Rattus norvegicus: one gene and its partners. The protein of the gene in region 2 interacts with the protein of the main gene of each other region in a pairwise test. Links are inferred from orthologs where the notes say so. Each region holds a gene or a part of one and is shown on either strand. Other genes may lie near its edges.

Region 1 (3,964 bases), on a different chromosome or scaffold from region 2:
TATATCCATGCTAAGCTAAATTCCCATGACCTGTATCCCTACTAAGCTAAATCTCCCTGAGTATATCCATGCTAAGCTAAATCCCCATGAGTTGTATCCTAACTAAACTGCATAGACAGCCTCTTTATTTTGCCCCCCCCCCCCCTTTTTTTGAGAGGCTTCTTGTAGCCAAGGCTGGCTTTGAACTCCGGAACCTCTGGCCTCCCAAGTACTCAGATCACTTTCTAGTTTGAAACAGCTTCACCAAGCTGCTCAGGCAGACCCTGAACTTGGTATTCTCTTGCCTCAGCATCTCAAACAGCTGGGATAACAAGTCTGTGTCACAGGACTGGCTAAAGCCTGTATTTTAGTTCCTAGTTGGAGGGCAAGTGGTCTGATTCCTTTGTGCTCTTTGAAGCCACTAAGGCCTGAGATACATGCTCCTTCCCCTCCGCCCTTAGAGCCTGTGTGCTGTGGTGTGTGTGTGTGTGTGTGTGTGTGTGTGTGTGTGTGTATTATGTGGGTTGTTGTGAGGAATCTCAGTCTTAGTAGTGGTGACTATTGCAGTTTCTGGAGCCCTGGCTACCCCTCCTACAGGGTGGGTTTGTGAGAAGTCACCAGTGCTAGTCCAACATCCAGTCTTTGTCAAATTGGATCAGGCCTAACATATGGATGATGTCCCTTTATTCAGTGAGGGGCTGGTCATGGTGGATGCCTGAAGAGAGAGTAGGGTGGAGGGCTACTACGGGGGACACTAAGTTTGGGAGGGTTGGAACAGTATCCCGTGAAACAGCTTGTTTGGCCAAGGAATGGCTACCTGACAGTAGGCATCTGTGTCGTCTGAGCCTCTGTGCTGGGGCATCCATCCCCCTTGGCTTGGGGACTACACTGCTGAGTCATAAGCAGGCCCAAACCTGGGAGGAGCCTAGGCTCGGATACTTACCGGCCCTTTTCCCATCGAACTGAGACTGAGGCTGGTCTCTTGGGGTCACCCATGCATTCGGAGGGAAAGAAAAAGAGGAGGCGGTGGGGGCGTCTCGCCCCCATACCTGTCAGGGGTCCTATCAAGGGCCCTCGAGCGGCCGCCCGGACAGCGGGGAGGGGCGGAGCTCAGAGAGGTTCCGCCCCCCACGAGGCGGGGCTCCCCCCGTATCCTATAAAAGCTGGGCTCTCGGAGCCGCCGCTGCCCAGCTGTTTCCTCCGTACCTAGTCTGCGGTTATGGCTTCGCTCACGGTGAAGGCCTATCTACTGGGCAAGGAGGAGGCGGCCCGCGAGATCCGCCGCTTCAGCTTCTGCTTCAGCCCGGAGCCGGAGGCGGAAGCCGCGGCTGGCCCGGGGCCCTGCGAGAGGCTGCTGAGCCGGGTGGCTGTGCTGTTCCCCGCGCTGCGGCCTGGAGGCTTTCAGGCGCACTACCGCGGTAAGGGCTCGGGGCGGGGAAGCCATCCTCCCCCGCCGCGGAGTATCAGGTCTGGGCGAGGACGCGATGGCGTGTCCTCTGGCTGCCCGCGGGGACAGGGTGGTCAGGCGGCCGCTCAGGTTACAGCTGACATCCCGCGGTTCGCTTGCTCCTCGTATCATCAGGTGATGGGTTCAGTTAAAGGCCCGGAAGAGCTGGGACCGGGCAGATGTGGAGGAGGGGTGGAGAGCAGTGACGCGGGTAAATAAGCGGCGGGGGCGGGGTGGGGCAGCCCGTGGGAAGGGAGGTAGGGGACCCCGGAACTAGCTCCGTCTCTTGCGTTGCAGTGGTTGATGGCTGCATGGGGTGGAGCTAGAAGTTGTTGACAAGAGACTAGTGGACAAGGCCCTCCCCCTGGGAGGGGATAAGATTGAGATCTCTTTATGGAGGACTGTGGGTAGGCCAGGTTGGTTGATCAGTCTGTCTCTTTTCTGAGATAAAGCCACGTAGCCTGATTCGCCTTGAATTTACGAGTGGTTTAGGCTGGCCTCACTTCAATCCTCTTGTCTCAGCTTTCCAGTGCAGGAATCATAGGGATTATTCTGGACAAAAAATGTTCAGTGTAAGTGAGTTTTAACCTAGGTCCAGTACAATTCACCCAGGTCTTAATGTCCTTCCGAGTCATCTTTGTGCTAGGGCCTCATGTATGTTAGGCTCTCGACTGACTGAGCTACCACCCCGCCCCCCAAACTCCTTGCATTTTTTAAAAAGTGAGTTATATAACTATTATCACATTCGGTTTAGAATCTTTTTTTTTTTTATAAATTTTACGTGTGTGTGTGTATAGCCTAGCCTGATACACACACACACACACACACACACACACACATATATGTATATATATATATATATCCTAGCCTGCAGATGTGTGGTTTGTCCTGTATGAGGTGGTTGAAGACTGTTTGTACTGACATAGAAATATATGGCTGCGCTCCCAGTACCTGTGTGCTAATGTAAAAATGAAAGCAGATGGGTTTGAGAAATGACTCAGTGGTTAAAGCCTTTGCTGCTCTTCCAGAGGACCCAAGTTCTGTTCCTAGCGCTCATATCAACTGCAGCTCCTGGGGATCCCACACCCTCTTATGGCCTTCGTGGCACATGCATACACATAAGTGTGCATGTGTGTATGTGTGTGTGTGTGTCTGTGTGTTCAAGTGCGTACATACATATGTAAAAGTAAATATCAAAAGGCAAAAAAGAAAAAAAACCCAAAAAAACCCAAACCACTTGGCAGCTTGGTTGCATATGTTTGTGATCCCAGCACTAAGGAGGCTCACCTACACAAGTTGGAGGCTGTCCTGTTCTAAGCAGTCTCAGGCCAGGCAGGGCGCAGAAAACCTAGAATTGACAAAAACAAAACCAACAGAGCAACCTCAACCTCAGAACAACTTAGACAGCGTCTGAATGCACAGTGGTTTCTGGTCACGTAGTTGAAGGGAGGGGACAGATGGGCTTACCTCCTTTCCTTCTGAAGCCTGAGGCCTTTGAAGGGCTGGACCATCAGGACAGGGTACTGGCTGGAATCTCCCAGGTGAAAATGGACCTGGCCTACTTACGTGTGGCCTGAGGGCACAAATGGCCCAGTGGTTTGTGGCAGGAAGCTGGACCCTTACACACATGACATATGCTCTGCCTTGTGCATGTACCGGATCTAGGACTTGGGTTAGAACATGTACTCACGCCATATCAGAATGAGTGGCCATCTGGCTGCTTGCTCCAGCACTCAGATTGCGTCTAGAGCCTCTGTAGATGTCCCTTACCATTGGGCTCCCTGTACATAGCAGTGGGCATCCAGCAGATGCTGGGTACCTGTGCTGCCCTTTCGGCTTCTAGTTCTGGGAATGGCACCTAAGTCTTCTGCACGCTCCACCAATGAGCTGTGTCCCTGGCTCTGATATGTTGTTTCCTAAACAATCTAGATGAGGATGGGGACTTGGTCGCCTTCTCCAGTGATGAGGAACTGACAATGGCCATGTCCTATGTGAAAGATGACATCTTCCGCATCTACATTAAAGGTAAAGACTGCATCCAGGTACTTCCCATCGGACTTCCTCTAAGGCTCAGGGGTCTGAGTTGTCTCTAGGACAGAGATGAGTTCTGATGCCTTGGGGTGGATATAGGGGGGTTGGGAGGTGTCAGAGGTACAAAGGTCCTGCTGTGTGGGCCATGGGTGTTGAACAGAGCAGGGCTTGGTACCTCTTGGCCTCCTAAGTGGTTTACCTGCAACTAAATTGGACTCTTGGACTCTCCCTGCAGAGAAGAAGGAGTGCCGGCGGGAACATCGCCCCCCATGTGCTCAGGAGGCACGAAGCATGGTGCACCCCAACGTGATTTGTGATGGTTGCAATGGGCCTGTGGTGGGAACTCGCTATAAGTGCAGTGTGTGCCCCGACTACGACCTGTGCAGCGTCTGCGAGGGGAAGGGCCTGCACAGGGAGCACAGCAAGCTCATCTTTCCCAACCCCTTTGGCCACCTCTCTGATGTGAGCTGGTTCTCTGCAGTCCTGGGGCGGTGTCGGACAGGGTGG
Region 2 (3,171 bases):
CCAGGGTGTTGAGGTGTGAGTGGGTGGGTGTGAATGGGAGCACATTCATAGAAACAGGTGGAGGAGGGATGGGGAATGGGAAAGGTACTTCCTGAGTTCTTCCTTACACACACACACACACACACACACACACACACACACACACACACACACACACATGTGTACATGCAATAAATTAAGCAGGTTCTTCCACAGCCTGCCTTGGATATGCTAATATGTCTTATGAATATGTAAAAGGGCTGTAGTCGCTATCCCTCACACCTTTCAGTTCCAATGAAGTGTTTCTCAGTGCTCCCACAGCTCTGAGCAGGACTGTATATCAAGCTGGCTGTGGGCAATGGCACTGGAGAATTCCTCCTGCAGGAGAGAGTTCCATCTCTAACACTTCCCAATTCTTCAAGATAGTGTTAAGACTTTACATTCTAGTTCATTTTGTCAGCTGTTATTTCATGTTCATGCTCCTGATACGCATGATTTTGTTACTAAAGTGAAACAGGAAAAAGGTTTTGCAATGAGATAATGTTTTATTTTATTTTAATTTCCACCATTTATATACAAACACAAGTTAATAAAACACGTCACAAAACTGTAAAATTCATAAATTAATATTTATAGGTGCATAGTCTCATGCTCACATATTTTAAAATATATATTAACAAATTTCACAGCACATCATTCTTCTTAGACAGAAAGAATCATTAAGGACATCTAAAAGTCTTATAGCAAATCACAACTTCTTGAGAACAGCAACAAAAAACGGTGAAGAGTTAGAAATAAGTGGTAGTCACTTAGGTGTTTTAAGTTTCTTCTAACATTTTAGGTTTGAAGCCACAACAATATCCACAGCACACAAGAGCCTGCTACCATGTATTCACTGTAGTGAGAGGGGAGCACCGGGATGCTGAGGGGCAGGTACAGGACTCCGATCACTGCTGATGGAAGACTTTGAAATACACTGTACAGCTTTGAGAAAAGGTCATGACTGGGCACGTTGGAACTGAGCACTTGTACGCCATGGAAGAACACCTGGGCAGATCTTAGGACAGTGGGTACAACGACATTCTTAGGCTTCAGGCTCATAGTCTTGGTAGCCTTCCTAATATCAGGAAAAAAATAAGAGCATGCCTTGTCAGTGAAGTGACAGTTATCAACTGTCTGCTTCACAGGAGGGAGGGCTCAGCCTTTCAATCAGATAAAATTGATCCTCAGCTCAGTGTTTGGGGCTTATCTGTCATGAACATGTATTGGTTTTTCCATACGTAGCATCTGTACGTTATAGGGGTCATCACAGATTATTAGGCCTAATTCTAGATATATCCTTTGATCTGTGATTTCGTGCTGCAGTATGAATTGGCTGGGGCTCTGATTTTCTCCTTTGCTCTGCGTTGTGAGCCGTGAACACCTAGGTGAGCTGCATAAAGCCTCCTCCAGAGCTCATCCTTCTCCTTTCTCCCCCATTAGGAAACCCCACCTTCATGAGAGGTTTCCACACAGGCTCATTTATTCTAAAGCCTGAGCCTCCTGGACAAAATCTAGGTAACATTCATAACAGGAATGGTACTTCCTCAATTAATTGATTATATCAGGATTCTACTGTTAAACTAAACCTATTATCAAACTCTTTTTCAAATGTCAATATAAACTTAAATGACAAAGTTAATTTGGGACTCTACAGTTTGTCTATAACCTTAATTATGTCTTCAGCCTTAATCTATCATATTTTATGTTTTCTAAACATGATTCATAACTGCCCATTGTTGCTCAGGCATTTTCATATGCCTTTGTTTCTGGTAACCTCTTGTGCTAGAATGTTCTAAAATGTTCTTCCTTTGACCTGCCATATCCCTTACTCTCTTCCACAAAGATTAAAATCATTTTCTCAAAACCCTTTTTATGATTGAACTACCCAAACCATAATATGAGGGAGATGTGATAGTGGCTGAGTGTTGCACATAGGCATTTACCTCTGAAGGTACCTAAGAAAATACCTAAGGGTATTTTTCTTGGTTTTCTGTTTGTAAGCATTTACCTCTGAAGGCATTTCATAAGCCTCACTGCTAGGGTCCACAGGCATGTCTTCCAGGATTCCCTCTTGTGGGTACCCTTCTTCACCCTACAGACAGGGAAGTGAAAGCACAGTAAGATAGTGTTTTCACTACTGAAGCATAACTTGAAAAAAAATTATGTCAGGTATACCTTCAAGGCGCTACAAGAAGTGTTCTCAGAAGTGCATTCTTCAGAATTACCGAGCCAAACTGTACCAAACCACCAGAGAAAAACATCATGCAAACATGGGTTACCAATCTGAAGCTTTCAAAGCTTTTGCCCAAGTAACTCATTACCCAGGAAGTTGCAAAGCAAAAGACCCTAAGTTCTCTCCATGAGCACAATGTTATAGTAGCAATGATTTGTAGTGAACTGGTAATGATGAATCAAATAATGGCAAAATATTCTATTTTTTTCTGAAATCATGATAATTCTCTAATAGGGACGACTTAATTTTGGTGTAATGTTTAACAGGACATTGTTTGTGGACAGAATCCACACAACACTTGAATCCGAAAGTAAAAATGTTCCAAGAAAGTGGAACTAATATACAGACACATCATTATGGTTTTCCCTAAATTTGTTAAGGCAAAGTCCATGTGTTTTGTAATTCATTGTTTTATTTTATTTTATGTGTAGGGATATTTGCCCTGTGTGTAGGTCTGTGCACTATGCATGTGTGGTGAAAACAGAGGGCAGAAGAAAGCATCACATTCCCAGAAGCTTGAGCTGTAGACAATTGTGATTCTCCATACAGATGCTAGAACATAAACTTGGGTCCCCTGGAAGAAAAACATATGCTCTTAATGACTAAGCTATATTTCTGGCTCCAATAAATTCATTTATAAATGCTCCCAAAGAAATAGTTCTCTTTGGAAATCTGGAAATTATACATACTTGAAGTTAAAAAAGAAGCCAAAGATTAGATTGGACAAAATTTCAGATTATCTCTCCACAGTGCTGACATCATAGCATTCAGTCTGACATGATGTGCCTTCTTTGTTTTCTCCATCAAAGGCCTTTTTGTTCTTTCCCGTTTGTTCCACCAAAGTAATTACTGAATGATAGAGTTCAGCAAATATTCAAAGAACAGAGATGTAACTGGAGCCTAAATGGGCTAATTTG
Region 3 (3,500 bases), on a different chromosome or scaffold from region 2:
GAACTCAGGCCTTAGGGAGACTGCTTGGAAAATAAATTCAGCATGTAAGCAAAGGTACAGTTCAATGGTAGAATGTGTCAAGGCTTGCACAGCACGTGTGAGGCCCTGGATTCCATATCCTGCACCCTCCACATCCTCCAAAGGGTCAGACACCAGAGCAAAATTTAGACATTGAGGGCATTCTTATCCCAGGAGCAATTTCCCTCAACAGGAAAACTCCCTCGGAAATGGCTCTAGGAGGTGAGGGTAAAGATGGTCAGTTTTAGATGTCCTTAGGCCTCCCACTACTGTGTTCCTTCCCCAGTCATGGGGGTCATTTCCCAAGGCTCAGTCCTGCCTCATTCCAGTCTCTTCTGGGCCCCACAGAATACCTTGACCAAAGTGCTTAGGGATTGGGAGTGGGATGACGTGGTGGTGGTGGCAGGTCCCACTGCCACCTTCATATAAGTGCCCATTTCATGTAACTCTTCTCAGAAGGTGAGCAAGTCTGACAGCACAGCCAGAGGCTCTCCATATGAGCATCTAGTCAGCACTGGGACAGGTGGCTGCTGGCATGCCCCAGCAAATTCTGCAGCAAGGATGTGAGGGACTCACAAGGATAGCCCTTGCACAGCACTTCAATTGGAGTGGACATCTTCTTCTCACTGATCCTCTCATACTTCTGCCTCTTGGTGGCGGCCTTCAGCCCCTGCCAGGGGAGAGAGCCCAGGTTGAAGTACATCAGCACGTACCCCAGAGACTCCAAGTCATCCCTTCGAGATTGTTCTGGAAGAAAAAGGGAACTATGTCAAGGATGGCATGTGTGTGTGTATAAAATCAATACCTGGCAAACAAAAAATTAGAAACTTCAAAAATAACAGAAAAATATACTTGCAGAATTATGTCACCAGAAGTTGTCCCTCACATTTGTTAAAGAAACCCCCCCTTAAGACTTCAGGGGAGCAACATCAACATCTTGAAGAACTGCTGGAGAAGCCAGCTTCTGCTACCCCACTGTACTTGGCAATACAGAGATTCTGGTTGCTCAATTCTGCTTGTCTGCTACCAAGGTTGGCTAACAGCTTCCACATCTCTCATCACCTAGGCTGCTACATAAGTTGGACTTTCCCTAATCTAAGGGATGGACATGCTAAAGGTACACAACGTCAAGTGATCCATCTCTGTCAGGGCTCACCAATGCCAAGGTGTGTGTTGATGGAGGCATAGCGTGCTGTCCCTGTGAGGTTCTTGTTCTCTCGATAGGGGATATGCTGGTGGGTGCGGGCATCCCGATACTTCTTGGCCAGCCCAAAGTCAATGATGTAGACCAGGTTGCCTTTCTTTCCCAGCCCCATGAGGAAGTTATCTGGTTTCACGTCTCGGTGGATAAAATTCTTCGAATGAATGTACTCAATACGACTTATCTACAGAGAAACAAAGGTAAGACTGAATCTCATAGTGGTTCATGCTGGAAAAGGAGGCTGCCTGGCAGTGAGGCTCCCATTACACATTCTCTTCTCTACTTTCTGGAGAGCAGTGATTTCAGTTAAGGTAGTCTTCTCTCAAGGTATCCTCAACTCTCTGTCCCTCGACAGGCCCAGACATTTTTTTTCTCTTTAGTTCCCAGAGGAATAGGTAAGACAGCAAGCTGCTTGGTTATGGTTCACATCAGATGGACTTTGAATGAGTCATAAACAAGAATTTTCATGAAAACCATTCAAGTGTTGCTACCAAATGTGGACTCCCTGAGAGAACTGAAAGTCCATTCGATATGGATACAGGGAGGAGGGGGGAGAGAAGTTACTTTCTTTTTTTTTTTTTTTTCTTTTTCTTTTTCTTTTTCTTTTTTTTGAAGCTGGGGACCGAACCCAGGGCCTTGCGTTTGCTAGGCAAGCGCTCTACCACTGAGCTAAATCCCCAACCCCGTGAGAAGTTATTTTCTAATTCAATCATCTTGAGGCCAAGATTAAACAAATCCCCCTTTCTTTCTATGCACAAATGGATGTAATAATGGAGATATGGCAACCTAGTAATTTGTTTAGTTTTTTGAGATGGGGTTTCACTATGTAGCCCTTATGGGCCTAGAACTTGCTGTGTAGACTAGGCTGGCCACAAACTCATAAACATCTGTCTGCCTCTGCCTCCTGAGTGCTGGGATTGCAAGCCACCATTGCCAATGTAACCCAGTAATTTACTCTAGTAAGCCAGCAAGCACATGCCAAGTGCTTGCTACACTGCCTGAACACTTCAGGAAAAGGGGTATTGCTTACCATTTGGTCAGCAAGCAACAGAACAGTTTTGAGACTAAACTTCCTTGAACAGAAGTTGAATAGGTCTTCCAGGCTGGGTCCCAGTAGCTCCATCACCATGACATTGTAGTCCCCCTCAGCCCCACACCATCTGATGGTAGGGATGCCCACTGGAAAAGAAACCAAACACAGCACTTCAACCCATGCTACTGTATCATATCACTTCTATTCAACTCGACAGGTGTTTAGCAGATTATGTCTGTGGGTGTTCAAGGGGTTCAGACGATATTGGCAATGTCTGCCCTCGAGTGTGATGTCCACTTGTAATTAAGCTAGACACAGTTAGCACGTGACAAAGAGCAAGCTGACAGGAGTCAAACAAGCAGTGGCAGCAAGTGAGGTAGTTGATTTCATAACATCAGCATCCATGGAAAGAGAAAACATCAGGTAAGACAGGTCCAGAGAAGCCAGCCGGATGCCACAGTTGCACCAGTGAGGCTGGAATCAAATGCTGAGGAACTAAGGAGAAAGAACTGCCATGGCTTGTAGAAGAGAGAAAAAAAGCGTTTCCTTTTTCCAATATCGATGGGAGAAAAGCAAACACAATGACAACTTCTTGGAGAGTCATTCAGATTTTGAAAACACCAACTGGTAGGAGAGGGAATAAAAGAAAAAAAACAAAACAAACAAAAAACCAGGACAAATCCAACATTAAGAAACCAGTCAGGTGTGGTGATATGCTTATGAGGTAGAGCTCTAGGATCAGAATGTTCACACCTTGGGCTACATACTAAGACCCTGTCTAGAAGAAAACAGCAATCACGCCACCGAATAGCCCAGAACTCCAAATGAGGGAAGAACTGAAGGATGCCTTCAGATATTAGACCTGAAAGCAGTCAATTCTAAACACTCTCTACTTTTGAAGAATGGGACAAAGACCAAGTATTTTATCTAAGAGCATACACAACAGTCACAAAAAGATGGTCAGAAAAAAGCTGAGAGCACTTGAATACTGCTAGGAACAAGGATGCACAAAGCAGCTTTGCTCAAGTCAAAGAGCAAGCGCTACAGAGAAGCTTTATACGATGCCTTGTGCTCTCCTCTGCCTACCACCAGAGCATGAGGTCTAGGAAGCTCCACCTACTGCCACTGGCTTTTACCATACGCACTCCACTTTTGGTTCTGTCATGAGCCCAAGGCCTCTCTTTCCTTTCATGTAAAACATTGAGTGGAGCTTCAATGTGAGTTTAGATGTTTCCGGTGAGATCCTAC
Region 4 (2,249 bases), on a different chromosome or scaffold from region 2:
TTCAGGTGAGTGGTCAGACCTGACATGACTCCTGGGGACGAGGAACCATTGCTGGAAGCCCTGGGCCACTTGAAAAGGGGCCTTGAACAGGCTGTTAGCAGAGGCAGAGTGTGGTCCTGCCAGCAGTTGGCCTAGCTTTGACATTAGGTTCTTTTTTCTCTGCTAAACCCAGCCCTGTGAGGGCTGTGAGTGACAACCACAGCTACAGAAGTCCAGCCCAGCTCTGGCAGGTGCCCATGAATTGCATAAAACACACCTATCCAGAGCCCTGTTGTGCATGGCATCTGGAGTGGCCCTGACCGTCACGCAGGACCATTAAGCTCACTTGTCTTATTCCTAAGGAGTCCAGGCACATCTGTGGTGCAGTCTCATCTAACCACTCATGGCCCCTCAGGGCCCTTCAGCCCCCTGGTTCCTGAGATACCTACCATTCCATGCCACAGATGTCCGTGCTTGGTGATGTTACCCAACAGTTTGAAAAGACACACACAGCCAACAGCTGAAAGGCTTCTCATAGTATTAAAAACCATTTTAAATAAAGTTATCACATTTGCAGTAAAACTCACTTGTCCTGCCTCAAAACAGAAACACTTGAAATTAAAACATAATTTTAAAAAAATCATGAGCCCAGAATGGGCAGGCTGGAAGCTGGTTTCGTCCTTTGGAGGCTCCAGGAGCTTTAGGTCCATGTTGCATCTGTGGTCCCTACATCATGGCCACCTGCAGGCTCCAAAGAGCAGAAACCGCCCCTGATGGGATCCCCGCTAGCCTCAGCAGGAAGTGTCCAAGCCTCTTGTGGGGAGAGGAGCGGACTACAGAGCACCTGGCAGCAGGGCTCAGTCATCCAGGTAGTAGTCCAGCTTGGTGAACACAGTCTTGCAGCCCTTGTCAGAGAAGACCTTCTCCTCCTTGGGGAAGAACGTCATCTCTTCAGCTACCTTATTGATTATGTCCTCATCTTCTTCATAGCCACGGGACTGCATCTCAACTCTGATGCACATTTTCAGGTGCTTGTACTCCAGGGGCAGGAAGGGGACAAAATAGTCTATGAGGTTCCGGTCAATGAGGCTGCTGTGCCAGAAGCCACCTGTGAAAGACAGACAGACGCCATGTCATACTGAGTAGTAACGGAGTGATTACTACATGTTCATGGGGCCTGTTTGAGCCAGAGCGAGGAGACCATGCTCCACACAGTGAGGGAGGGAGACAGGAGTGGACAACTGCCTATGAACACTGCCTTGGGCTGCAGCTGTGACAGCAAGGGCAGGGGGACAGAAAGGGACCTCTGGGGTTCACTAAGAACCTCTTTAACAGTGCACACCTTTAATCCCAGAACTCCAGAGGCAGAGGCAGGTGGATCTCTGGAGTTTGAGGCCTGCCTGGTTTATAGAATGAGTTCCAGGACAGCCAGGGGCTACATAGAGAAACCCTGTCACACAAATACAAAATAACACCAACACTTATTGCTTGTTGCAGAGGACCTGAGTTGGGTCCCAGTATTCCTCAGGCTGCTCACAACCACACACTCATACACACACACACACACACACACACACACAATAATGAAAAACACAAAAAAGCTTTCAAACGGGTGCTCTAGGCTTAGAAAGGCCTCTCTAGTGTGCCTTAGAGATGGGAGGCAGACCAGAGGGCCACATGTACCATACTGTGTGCTGGGACCCAGGCAGTGTGGTGGGAAGCTGATGGACAGGTTGGAAGAGGTTCCAAAGAAGAGATAAGGGAGGGCTATCATAGACTTCACCAGTCAGTCTCCAGCTAGAGCTTCCACAGCTGAGCCTGCATGAAGGCATCGGCAGCTGCTGCCTGCCAGTGCCTAAACCATGCAGAGCATTCTGGAAGCAACACCTAGACTCCTGGGGAGTAAGGTGCGCCAACAAGGCTGTGCACCACACAAGTCTGGGCTCTGACATCTTCCCTACAAAAGCCGGGCCCTGCCTGGCTCAGCCTCCCACCTCCCAGTCCTGGAACACTCGACCCAGCACCCACAGGACGCCCCAGAGCACCCAGGTCACGTCTTGATGTCCTGCTTAGCCTATTGATCTCTGTGCTCTGGCTCCCGTGAAAGCTGTGCAGAGAGCCCGGGGTCTGTGTTCTCCCAATGGTGCTCCACACATACAGTACTTGGGGGAGGACCTGTGGCCACAACAAAGAACAAACCAACTGTGGAGCAGTCACCAGTGTAACTTCTGCGTTGAAGGCCTACTCTGTGCCAGATGCCAAGACCTGAG
Region 5 (3,500 bases), on a different chromosome or scaffold from region 2:
GACAAGTGATTCTGTTTATTTGAGGGATTTCTTTGCTTATATGAAAAAGTAAGAAGGCAAAAAATAAAAGTGAAAAGAAAAAACAGTAACTTTGTTCTAATGTTAACATAAAATACCTTTAATAAGCATGCTGCATAAGTCATTATTAAGAAGTTCTCAGTTACATTCTCCTTTCTGTTTTGCACACACTATTTTCAAGAAATGTTAGGATTACGTCTCACAATATTGCTGGAGCAGCTAAAGCACCTCTCGGTGCTCACATTCTAGGTATATGGCAGCTTTCTTAATCAGACGTGGTGCTGGGGAGATGGCTCAGTCAGTAAAGAGCCTGTTGTGTAAGGATGAGGATCTGAGTTCAGGGCCCCAACAGCCACATGAAAGCCAAGTGTAGCATCACACACCTGGAATCCTGGAACCGGGGAGGCCAGAGTAAGGGAATCATGAGCCTGTTTCAGAAAGTAAGATGGGGGGCCAACAAGATGGCTCAGTAGTTAAAAATGACTTGAGTTTGAACCCTAGGACCTATGTGGTAGAAGGGGAGAACTGACTCCTGCAGGCTGTCTTCTCACTCTCCCTACCAAGTAAATACAATTAATAATAGCTTTAAAATGTATAACAGGGATAAGAATAAAGAAGTAGGGCTGGTGAGATGCTTTAGTGGGTACAGGCATTCATGCATGGGCCTGATGACCTGAGGTCAGCGTCAGTCACTGAACCCTGCAACGTGGGAGAAAAGGCCCAACTTCCGAGAGTTGTCTTTTGACCTCCACACTTGACTCTGCATTCACACTCACATGCGGTGTACACACACAAAATAAGTAAGTATGTTGGGGCTGGAGAGATGGCTCAGCGTTAAGAGTACTGGTTGCGCTTCCAGAGGACTTGAGTTCAATTCCCAACACCAACATGGCAGCTCACAACTGCCTATATATAATTCCAGTTCCAGGGGTCTGACACACTCACACAGACTCTTACACTCAGGCAAAACACCAATGCACATAAAATAAAAATAAATATTAAAAATAAAGGAAGAAAAATGTTTAAGTATTAAAGAATGAGTAGTAGACTGGCTATGATAAAGTTTATTTAATTCATTTACTCATTTTGTTTATAGGTCTATGTACTTAAGTATATGTATATGAATTACAACTTAAATATGAATGGCAATGTAAAATAGGATTTTATTAAACGAAAGAGAAACATGGTCAGATTTGTTTTACAATGGATGAGTGACAGGTTAAGGCTCTTGCCAAATAAACCCGGTGACTTGAATTCAATTCCTAGAAGGTGTTCCATAAAGGTGGGAGAAAATTATCTTTTAATTTTCACACTTATGCTGGGCACATCAGATATGTAGCTGGAAATGGTGGAGGCTTTTCTGGAGTTTTGGAGTTAGGCAGTAGGCTTCCTGGTAGTCTCAAAGCTGGTAAAGCTGAAAGGAATCTCATCAGGCAGCAGAAAGCTGTGGGAAGAACATGGCCTTGAACTGCCATGGTTTTATAGAGCTGTGTGGAGAGTGAGGGGACGCTCTGTATCGTGGGCATCATACATTCATCTTTGGCCATGCTGGATGTGAGGTATTGTGTGGCACTTCTGTGGAGATGGGGAGGGTAGATGGGTGTGTCAGTATGGAGCTTCAGACTCGTCTGTCCAGTCTTGGTTCTGTGGTCAATCATTAAGACATGTAACTCTTGTGAGCCCAGAACACATGATTGCAAACGGAAACTAAAGTAATACTCCTAAATTTTGCTGAAGCAAAATTTGTAGGTTTGGGGCCAACTTAGCCTATGTGTAAGAACTTGTCTCAAAAACAACACAAAAAGCAAATTTTGTTCTATTTGTGTTTCTCCAGGTTGATCGTACAAAAAAACCAGCAGTTAAGTTGCCTGAAGATCATAGAATGAAATCTGAAAGTACAGATCAGAGTGGAAGAGTTCTTTCTGACCGATCCACCAAGCCAGTATTTACCTCTCCAGCCACCATGCTAACAGATGAAGAAAAGGCTCGCATTCATGAAGAAACAGCCCTTCTTATGGAAAAGAATAGACAGGAGAAGGAACTGTGGGAAAGGCAGCAGAAGGAACAGAAAGAGAAGCTGAGAAGGGAGGAACAAGAGCGCAAAGCTGGAAAGACCCAGGATGCAGAAGAACGGGACTTCACTGAGAATCAGCACAAAGCAAAGGATGGACAAGAGAAGAGAGACAGCAAACAGACCAAGGCAGAAGACAGAGAGCCCCCAGCAGATGGGGCCCAGGACGCCACAGGAACGCAAAGACAAAGTAAGAGTGAACACGATGCTTCCGATGCTAAGGTATCTGTGGAAGGTAAAAGGTGTCCCATGTCAGAAGTGCAGAAGAGGCCAGCAGATGTGTCGTCTGCATCCTCCATGTCGGGAGAGCTGAGTGCAGGCAAGGTAGGTAAAACAAACAGTAAATGTGTATAAGATGATGACACAGGGATTAGGGGGATGTTTGCCCAGAAACCGGGAAAGGGAATAACACTCGAAATGTATATAAGAAATACTCAAGTTAATAATAATAATAATAATAATAATAATAATAATAATAATAATAAGGTTTTAGAGCTGGAGAGGTGGCTTAGAGGCTAAGAGCACTGACTGCTCTTGCAAAGGTCCTGAGTTCAATTCCCAGCAACCACATGGTGTCTCACAGCCATCTGTAATAGGTTCAGATATCCTCTTCTGATGTGTCTGAAGACAGCAACAGTGTACTCATATACATAAAATAAATAAATAAATCTTTTTTAAAAAAGGTTTTAGTTAATAAATAGACCTTGCATTTTGAGTAGTATGTAACGCCAGTAGAGTCTGAGAGCATAGTGAATACACATGAAAAATTAACGTTTTACACCGCATTGTAAACCAGCGCTTCACATTCTGTTGAGCTTTATTTCCTTCACTGACTCATTTTTCTCTTTAGGGGTATGAAATTCCCAGTGAGCTCAGTGTTAACCTTGGCAATAAAATACACCTTTCAGAGAGACTTCAAAGTTTTCTTTTTGTTTTTATTTTCAGTCTGATAGGTTTAATAATAGTTTAATTTAGGTATTTACATATTATAAAATTTACTTGTTTTTAACATGCAGTTAGTCAGTGACTTAAAAATTTACAGACTTGGGGCTGGGGATTTAGCTCAGTGGTAGAGCGCTTACCTAGGAAGCGCAAGGCCCTGGGTTCTGTCCCCAGCTCCGAAAAAAAAGAAAAAAGAAAAAAAAAATTTAGACTTTTTTTTTAATGTGTATGGATGTTTGCCTGAATGTATGTCAGTTCCTCTGAGGAGGGCAGAAGAGCACGTGTCTTGGGAACCCACATCCTCTGGAAGAGCAGCCTGTGCTCTTATCCTCTGAGCCATGTCTCCAGCCCCTTACCCAGCAGAGCTCCCATGTTCATGCTGTAGCATGTATTGGCAGCCTGTTTCTCCATGTGGCTAAGTATTATAGGCTCTGCACACACACACATGTCAGTTTGCATTGTTTAGACA
Region 6 (4,074 bases), on a different chromosome or scaffold from region 2:
CACCAGGAGGCTGAGATCCCAGTAGCTCTCAGTCCACAGAAGCTGAACTGCTGCTATGAGTTCAAGGTCAAGGGCAGCCCAAGTTAAACAGCTACATAACTAGACCCCGTATAAGAAGAATGAACTTGCCTCACCAGCTGAGGATGGGAGTTCCACTCCTGAACACGATTTACTCCTAAAAGTTGTCCTCAGACCTCCAGATAAACATGGTGGCCCATACACACCCACACTCACGTGCACATACCCCAAAATAAAATAAACTTTTGAAAAACTGAGTTACTGCTAGAGTTATCCGGTAGAAAGCCTGACTACCATGCACAAAGCTCTGGGTTTGATCCCCAGCAACACAAAAACTGTGTATAATAGCGAGACAGAAGAGGTGGCTCAGTTGTTAAAGGCTGGGCTCACAAACAAACATATGCTACATAGTTCGAGATGGTGTAAATAAATGTCTTTCTACTGCACTGGCCAGCCAGAGTCGGGGTTTGCATTTTTTTTTTTTTTTGGTTCTTTTTTTCGGAGCTGGGGACCGAACCCAGGGCCTTGCGCTTCCTAGGTAAGCGCTCTACCACTGAGCTAAATCCCCAGCCCCGGGGTTTGCATTTTTAAAAGGATCATTCACTCATTCACTCTAAAGCAAATCTCGTTTCACCATGATTATCACAATGTCAGGATTTTCTCCCCTTAGAGTTTACCTTGCGTATTTTCCTAGTTGGATATTGCCTCCACCCCTAAGGTATAAGTCTTCATAAAAACAGAGACCTTGGGGTTGGGGATTTAGCTCAGTGGTAGAGCGCTTGCCTAGCAAGCGCAAGGCCTGGGTTCGGTCCCCAGCTCCGAAAAAAGGAAAAGAAAAACAAAAAACAAAAACAGAGACCTTGCCTTGCCTCGTTCATAACCGTCTTCAACAATCCAAAGGCTTTCTAGTCTTCAGACTTTTCAAGTAATATCGATACACAGTCAATGAAAGGTCAATGCTGCTGTCTATTTGTAAAGTGAGGGGGGGAAATACACAAGTTGGGAAACCTGTCCGATGTCGGACACCCAGGAAAAAGCACTTTTTCTGTAGTATACAAACGGATAGATGGATGAAGGAACTAGATTGATGGAATGTGAACCATTAGCGTTCCATGCGCCTGCGCTTCCTCAAATCGCTCGCCAGGGGGCGCTGCTCTCCCACGTCTCAACGCCAGTCCCTCCTGGCGCGCACTCCTTTTGCGTCTCGGGCTCGCGCGCGCTGCCGCGGCACCGGAAGTGACTGCGCTTGCAAGTTCCCCCGGTCTCTTCAGGGGAAACTGAGGCCGGCTTCTCCGGGAGATTCGGCACGAGCAGTCAGCCAGGTAGGCCAACCCAAGTCCGCGGCGTACTTCCCAGCCGCAAAACGCCCTCGTATCTGGAAGCCACTGGGCCGATGAAGGGGGGATGTGGCCCCCCACGGCTCGCTGGGCTCTCAGGTGAGGGCGCCGCCTCCCCTGTGCCTGACAGGCGCTTCGCCCAATGGGAGCCTTGGCCGTCCCGCTTCCGTGCCGACTCGACCCGCGGATTGGCTAAGCTGGGGCGGGCCGCGGGGGCGAGACCCCTCCTTCCAGAGAGGTCTAGGGGGCGCCCCTGAGGGAGGGCGGTTGCCTAGCAACGGGGCGGTGGCTCGGCGGGTACCCGGCCTAGGGGAGCGCGAGCAGTAAGCGAGGCCTCAGCCCACCCACCCGGGGCTCCAACGCGTAGCGGCCTCCGGTCCTGGAGCCCTGCAGGGGGCTCCAGGAGGCCGCCTTGGGTCGGGTCTCAAGAAAACGAGGTCTCCGCTGTGGGAGCCTCAACCCTTCTTCCTGGCCAGTGGCGGGGCTCAGCGCCTCCCTCTCACCCCGTCTTTGTGCGGGGTGCCGGCGGCCATTGTGTCCGGGCGCGGAATGGAGGACCTGGCAGTCCCCCAGTGCTATGTCCAGAGCCTTTGGGGAATTCAAAGACAACTAGCGGTGTTTGTGGGGGGTCTCCAGCCTACTCCTCTTGGAAAGGCCCGGGAGTGGTCTTTCCGAAATCAGATCGCAGATCCGAGGCCGTCTCCCCCTCCCCGCGTCCCTGCGCGAAACCTTGAGATTCACTGAGAAGTCCCTTTAGGGTTTCGGAAGCCTCATCCAGGGCTGGTACTTAAATAGAAAGAAAGAAAGGAGGGGTGGGGGGAAATTACACTAAACCCATACCTCCGGGAGAGTTCTCCTGGCTCCCAGTAGGAGGCGAGAGCCAAGGGGCGTGCTAGAGCGAGGGGGTTGGGCTCCCGGGTGGCTGGAGGCTGCGGAGCAGAGAGGCCGCCCTCGATCTGGGCGATGGAGGAAGCAAGCGAGGGGGCAGGTTCCTAAGCTTCGCAATTCCTCTGGCCTGCCTACCAGGTCGCATGATCCCGGCCGGGACCGGGGTTTTTTGCTGAGTTACCGGCGACCCAGCCACCACCTCCTCCCGACCTATGATACAAAAGACCTTCCGGGGGCTGCACCTGCTCTCTGTCGCCGGAGATAGATTTGAATGTAGGTGGTGGTGGTGGGGATGTGCCAATGGGGGTGACTTTTGGAGAAAGGCATTTCGGAGAAAAGGGGGTGGGTGGTTGTAGTAAAAAGAGGCTGATGAAACAATTCAAAGCTTGCTGGTCCTTTCAATTTGACTTCATTGAAGTCTCTTAGAACCTGGACTCAGACCTTCATAAGAGCCACAAAGAAACCAATTCTGGTAACTGGGGGAGGAATGGGGATTTTGTAAGGTAAATGACATGCATATTAAAATTTTCTCCTGAAGCTCTTTCTCTCTCTTCAGAACCCTATCTTGGCTTTGGATCCTGGAAGAGAATCGCTAAACACAGAGCAGACCCAGTGAGTGAGCAGGTGTTTTGGACAATGGACTGGTTGAGCCCATCTCTATTATAAAAATGTCTCAGAGCAACCGGGAGCTGGTGGTTGACTTTCTCTCCTACAAGCTCTCCCAGAAAGGATACAGCTGGAGTCAGTTTAGCGATGTCGAAGAGAACAGGACTGAAGCCCCAGAAGAAACTGAACCAGAAAGGGAGACCCCCAGTGCCATCAATGGCAACCCATCCTGGCACCTGGCGGATAGCCCCGCGGTGAATGGAGCCACTGGCCACAGCAGCAGTTTGGATGCGCGGGAGGTAATCCCCATGGCAGCAGTGAAGCAAGCGCTGAGAGAGGCTGGCGATGAGTTTGAACTGCGGTACCGGAGAGCATTCAGTGATCTAACATCCCAGCTTCATATAACCCCAGGGACAGCATATCAGAGCTTTGAACAGGTAGTGAATGAACTCTTTCGGGATGGGGTAAACTGGGGTCGCATTGTGGCCTTCTTCTCCTTTGGCGGGGCACTGTGCGTGGAAAGCGTAGACAAGGAGATGCAGGTATTGGTGAGTCGGATTGCAAGTTGGATGGCCACCTACCTGAATGACCACCTAGAGCCTTGGATCCAGGAGAACGGCGGCTGGGTAAGAACCACGCCCCTTGTGTGTCCGCCCCTTGTGTGTCTCTCCTCTGTGGAGATCCCTAACTGCCCTTTTTGGTCTCCTGGCATGGTTGTTGAAGATATCGATTATTCAGGAGACATTCCTGGCTTCACTTTAATACCAGGGGTTAACTTTGGGAATATTGATGACCCTGTTTTTAAGGAACCTGTATTTTTCATTCTGGCTACCCTTGTGGCCCCGCAGTTTCATAGTTTTGTTCCAATTTCTCGGCAAAGAAAAACAGCCTGTGTGTTTACTTGGCTTAAAACCTAGGAGAGTAGCAAGTTCTCCCTGTGTTCTGCTCACTCTCACGTAATGGGTCACCTTGGCTGGGGGGAGGAATATAATACCTGGAGGAACTGCAGAGCTGATAACCCCAGGCTCCTGTGTGCTCGCATGCATGCTATTCAGACCATTTGGTCAGGCAGGAGCCCCACTGGCTTGACTGGCTGAATATTGTCTGATTTTAGAGAAGGTGGTCTGAGCCAATTGTGTTTGTGCTGTGCCCCTAAGTTCATTTTCACCATGGTTGGCTTGTTTGGGGAGCCCTTGCTGTGCCCCAGGACTTTGTACCTCACTGC
Region 7 (2,267 bases), on a different chromosome or scaffold from region 2:
TCTGAGCAGCCTGAGCAGGCTGGGAGAAGGCCTGGGCTGTCACAGACACAATACATGGCAAATGCTAACAGGTGCCCATTAAAATGCCTGACCCTGGCAGTGGCAGGTGGCCCCTCAGTCCACCCTCCATGCTCAGGCTCCCTTGGACCGTGTGGGGGTGGCGGATACACTGAAAACGGTCCCAGACCCCTTACTCTCCTTTCCTCATTACTGAGCTGTCCAGGGCTGGCCAAGTTCAAATTGGGTGTCCGAGAAAGACCAGAGCCCAGTCTGCTTTGTGTGGCCATTGTGGAGAGTTTGTCCCATTTAACTGAGGGCTGGACAGGCTGATGCAGGAAAGGCAGAGGGTCACAAAGTGAGTTTCACAGCACAAGCCACAGGTTGTGGACTTAGGTGAGGGTGTCGGTGGCAGTGTGAGCTCCAGTATTGCTTTTGTCGTTTCATTTCCAGCTTTAAGGCTCCAGGCACTTTCTTCAAGAAGAAAGAACTAGCAGACCTTTCAAGTTTAAAAAGACATTTCAACGAAAGCAGATGTCTGGCTTAGCTGACATTGCACAGGGCTGCAGTCCCAGGCTATGCTAGGGCTGCAGAGACAGTGCCTGGGTCCCAAGAACCCAGAATCCAGGAAGGCTGCTCAGAGGACCCAAGAGGCAGGTGGATGACATGTCCCCTGAGGTCTAAGAGAAAGCCACCCCACACCAGGCAGGCAGCACCAACTCAAGTCCTGCCTGAGCCACTGTCTTCACACTGAGGTCAAATGAAGGAGGAACAAGGGTAAAGTGCAAACACAGCGGTCTCCCAGCAGGGCTGGGTTAGGGTGCAGCAAGGCTCCTACCAGTTCTGGTTGTCCCAGCCCTCGTCGGCGGCTGTAGATGGAGCTGCCTTCTTGGTAGCCTTTGCCCTTCCCTCCCCACTGGCTCCCTCCCAGCTCTCCCAGCCATCGCTATTGCTGTTCTTGTTGTTGGATGCAGAACCTGAGCCCCAAATGTCCCAGCTGTCCGAGCTCCTCCTTCCCGTTGAGGCATCTGCGCAGGTCCAGCTGTCACTGCTTGGGGACTTGGCCTTGGGGGGCTCAGCACTCCCGAAGGTCTCCCAGAAGCTCTGGTCTATGGTGCTGTTCTGAGAGTTGTCTCCACTGCTGTTCTGGTAGCTGTGGCCCTCTAAGGGTCTATTACAGAGAGGGACAAAATCTCACGAGTTGTCACAGAAAGATACTTTGTGCTTCCTGTATCCCCACGCTGCCCAATCTGCTCAGGTCCCAACGGCTCTCTAGAACAAGACCCATTCATTGCTTTACAAGCCCAGCCTACATTTGACCAAGGTGTGGCCAAGGCCTGCAACAGCTCTATGCTTTCTTCCTGGCTAGGAAGAGGCCCATGCCTTTCCAAGTGCTTCCTAGCCACCCCGTAGAGTCAGAGCACCCTACAGGTGAGGGACCTTTTCCTTTGAGAGCTGACTTGCCTTGATAAGGCTCCAACCTGGTGTTGAGGACACAGAACTTTCGGAAGGGATTGTCTCTTGCTACCTCATTCCCATTCATCACTCAAACTGTAGGGTGTTGGGAAAAAAGATACAAGCTTTTGTCCATGATAGGGGTCCTGGGGTGGGGTGAGAGGGCAGTCACTGTGCCTCTAGTAAAGAACCGTGTGCAGCACTGGGCATAGGATGAGGGGCCAGGCCACCTCAGGGAGCCCAAGGGACCCAGGGCCTGGGGTGAGGACATGGACTACCTGTCTGAAGTGTCTTCAGCTTTCCCAGAAAAAAAGGTCGTGACATCACGCCATCCCTTACTGCCAACTCCCTGGACCTGGAAGGAGACAGGAAACCAAGTCCACATACTACATCGCACCTCTGGCTCTAAAACAACAAAAATGGATGCTGCCCTGCTAAGACAAAACTTGGAGGAGTGTCACATATAGATACACACACACTTATGCACAGTAACACAGCAGCAGTGGTGAAGTTACAGTTAGCTCTTGGCTGCTTAGTTTGCTGTGAGCATCTCTCTGCCATCTCTGCAGAAGTAGTTTCTGTAATGGCTGGGACAATGCCACATACATAGTGAAAGGCATGGCCTTCCCAATGCCACAACACTTGGGACCTGTTCAGAGCTGTGAGCCACTGTAGGCCTTGTCTTTACTACAATGCAATGGAAGACTTCAGGAGACATCTTCTATTGCCATCGTGTTGTGAAGTCTGATGAACCCGCCCCCATCACACTAGGCCCTGAGGTCACAGGACCAGCAATAGCTGACAATGGCACTTAC

What was found.
Region 1: the proteins of Snca (region 2) and Sqstm1 interact in binary tests that used the Homo sapiens proteins (3 or more experiments, as listed by UniProt). The link is inferred for Rattus norvegicus from reciprocal best matches to the Homo sapiens genes SNCA and SQSTM1.
Region 3: the proteins of Snca (region 2) and Csnk1d interact in binary tests that used the Homo sapiens proteins (3 or more experiments, as listed by UniProt). The link is inferred for Rattus norvegicus from reciprocal best matches to the Homo sapiens genes SNCA and CSNK1D.
Region 4: the proteins of Snca (region 2) and Tor1a interact in a two-hybrid assay, tested with the Homo sapiens proteins (2 studies listed by BioGRID, with this or other methods). The link is inferred for Rattus norvegicus from reciprocal best matches to the Homo sapiens genes SNCA and TOR1A.
Region 5: the proteins of Snca (region 2) and Usp8 interact in a two-hybrid assay, tested with the Homo sapiens proteins (2 studies listed by BioGRID, with this or other methods). The link is inferred for Rattus norvegicus from reciprocal best matches to the Homo sapiens genes SNCA and USP8.
Region 6: the proteins of Snca (region 2) and Bcl2l1 interact in binary tests that used the Homo sapiens proteins (3 or more experiments, as listed by UniProt). The link is inferred for Rattus norvegicus from reciprocal best matches to the Homo sapiens genes SNCA and BCL2L1.
Region 7: the proteins of Snca (region 2) and Arfgap1 interact in binary tests that used the Homo sapiens proteins (3 or more experiments, as listed by UniProt). The link is inferred for Rattus norvegicus from reciprocal best matches to the Homo sapiens genes SNCA and ARFGAP1.

What each region holds. Positions count from the first base shown.
Region 1 is NC_086028.1:35,034,951-35,038,914, reverse strand, and holds the start of Sqstm1 (sequestosome-1), read left to right. Parts: upstream 1-1,164; 5' UTR 1,165-1,198; coding exon 1,199-1,397; intron 1,398-3,355; coding exon 3,356-3,451; intron 3,452-3,692; coding exon 3,693-3,919; intron 3,920-3,964. UniProt on the Homo sapiens protein: Molecular adapter required for selective macroautophagy (aggrephagy) by acting as a bridge between polyubiquitinated proteins and autophagosomes.
Region 2 is NC_086022.1:91,025,974-91,029,144, forward strand, and holds the end of Snca (alpha-synuclein), read right to left. Parts: intron 2,114-3,171; coding exon 2,030-2,113; intron 1,097-2,029; coding exon 1,064-1,096; 3' UTR 501-1,063; downstream 1-500. UniProt on the Homo sapiens protein: Neuronal protein that plays several roles in synaptic activity such as regulation of synaptic vesicle trafficking and subsequent neurotransmitter release.
Region 3 is NC_086028.1:106,734,189-106,737,688, forward strand, and holds part of Csnk1d (casein kinase I isoform delta), read right to left. Parts: exon of another isoform or gene 2,399-3,500; coding exon 2,250-2,398; exon of another isoform or gene 1,404-2,249; coding exon 1,175-1,403; exon of another isoform or gene 766-1,174; coding exon 595-765; exon of another isoform or gene 1-594. UniProt on the Homo sapiens protein: Essential serine/threonine-protein kinase that regulates diverse cellular growth and survival processes including Wnt signaling, DNA repair and circadian rhythms. It can phosphorylate a large number of proteins.
Region 4 is NC_086021.1:34,647,921-34,650,169, forward strand, and holds the end of Tor1a (torsin-1A precursor), read right to left. Parts: intron 1,088-2,249; coding exon 837-1,087; 3' UTR 501-836; downstream 1-500. UniProt on the Homo sapiens protein: Protein with chaperone functions important for the control of protein folding, processing, stability and localization as well as for the reduction of misfolded protein aggregates.
Region 5 is NC_086021.1:134,446,526-134,450,025, forward strand, and holds part of Usp8 (ubiquitin carboxyl-terminal hydrolase 8), read left to right. Parts: intron 1-1,852; coding exon 1,853-2,413; intron 2,414-3,500. UniProt on the Homo sapiens protein: Hydrolase that can remove conjugated ubiquitin from proteins and therefore plays an important regulatory role at the level of protein turnover by preventing degradation. Converts both 'Lys-48' an 'Lys-63'-linked ubiquitin chains.
Region 6 is NC_086021.1:161,761,976-161,766,049, reverse strand, and holds the start of Bcl2l1 (bcl-2-like protein 1), read left to right. Parts: upstream 1-1,274; 5' UTR 1,275-1,340; exon of another isoform or gene 1,341-2,715; intron 2,716-2,781; exon of another isoform or gene 2,782-2,799; 5' UTR 2,800-2,911; coding exon 2,912-3,475; coding exon of another isoform or gene 3,476-3,766; exon of another isoform or gene 3,767-4,074. UniProt on the Homo sapiens protein: Potent inhibitor of cell death. Inhibits activation of caspases. Appears to regulate cell death by blocking the voltage-dependent anion channel (VDAC) by binding to it and preventing the release of the caspase activator, CYC1, from the mitochondrial membrane.
Region 7 is NC_086021.1:188,474,476-188,476,742, reverse strand, and holds the end of Arfgap1 (ADP-ribosylation factor GTPase-activating protein 1), read right to left. Parts: intron 1,808-2,267; coding exon 1,731-1,807; intron 1,549-1,730; exon of another isoform or gene 1,462-1,548; intron 1,169-1,461; coding exon 832-1,168; 3' UTR 501-831; downstream 1-500. UniProt on the Homo sapiens protein: GTPase-activating protein (GAP) for the ADP ribosylation factor 1 (ARF1). Involved in membrane trafficking and /or vesicle transport.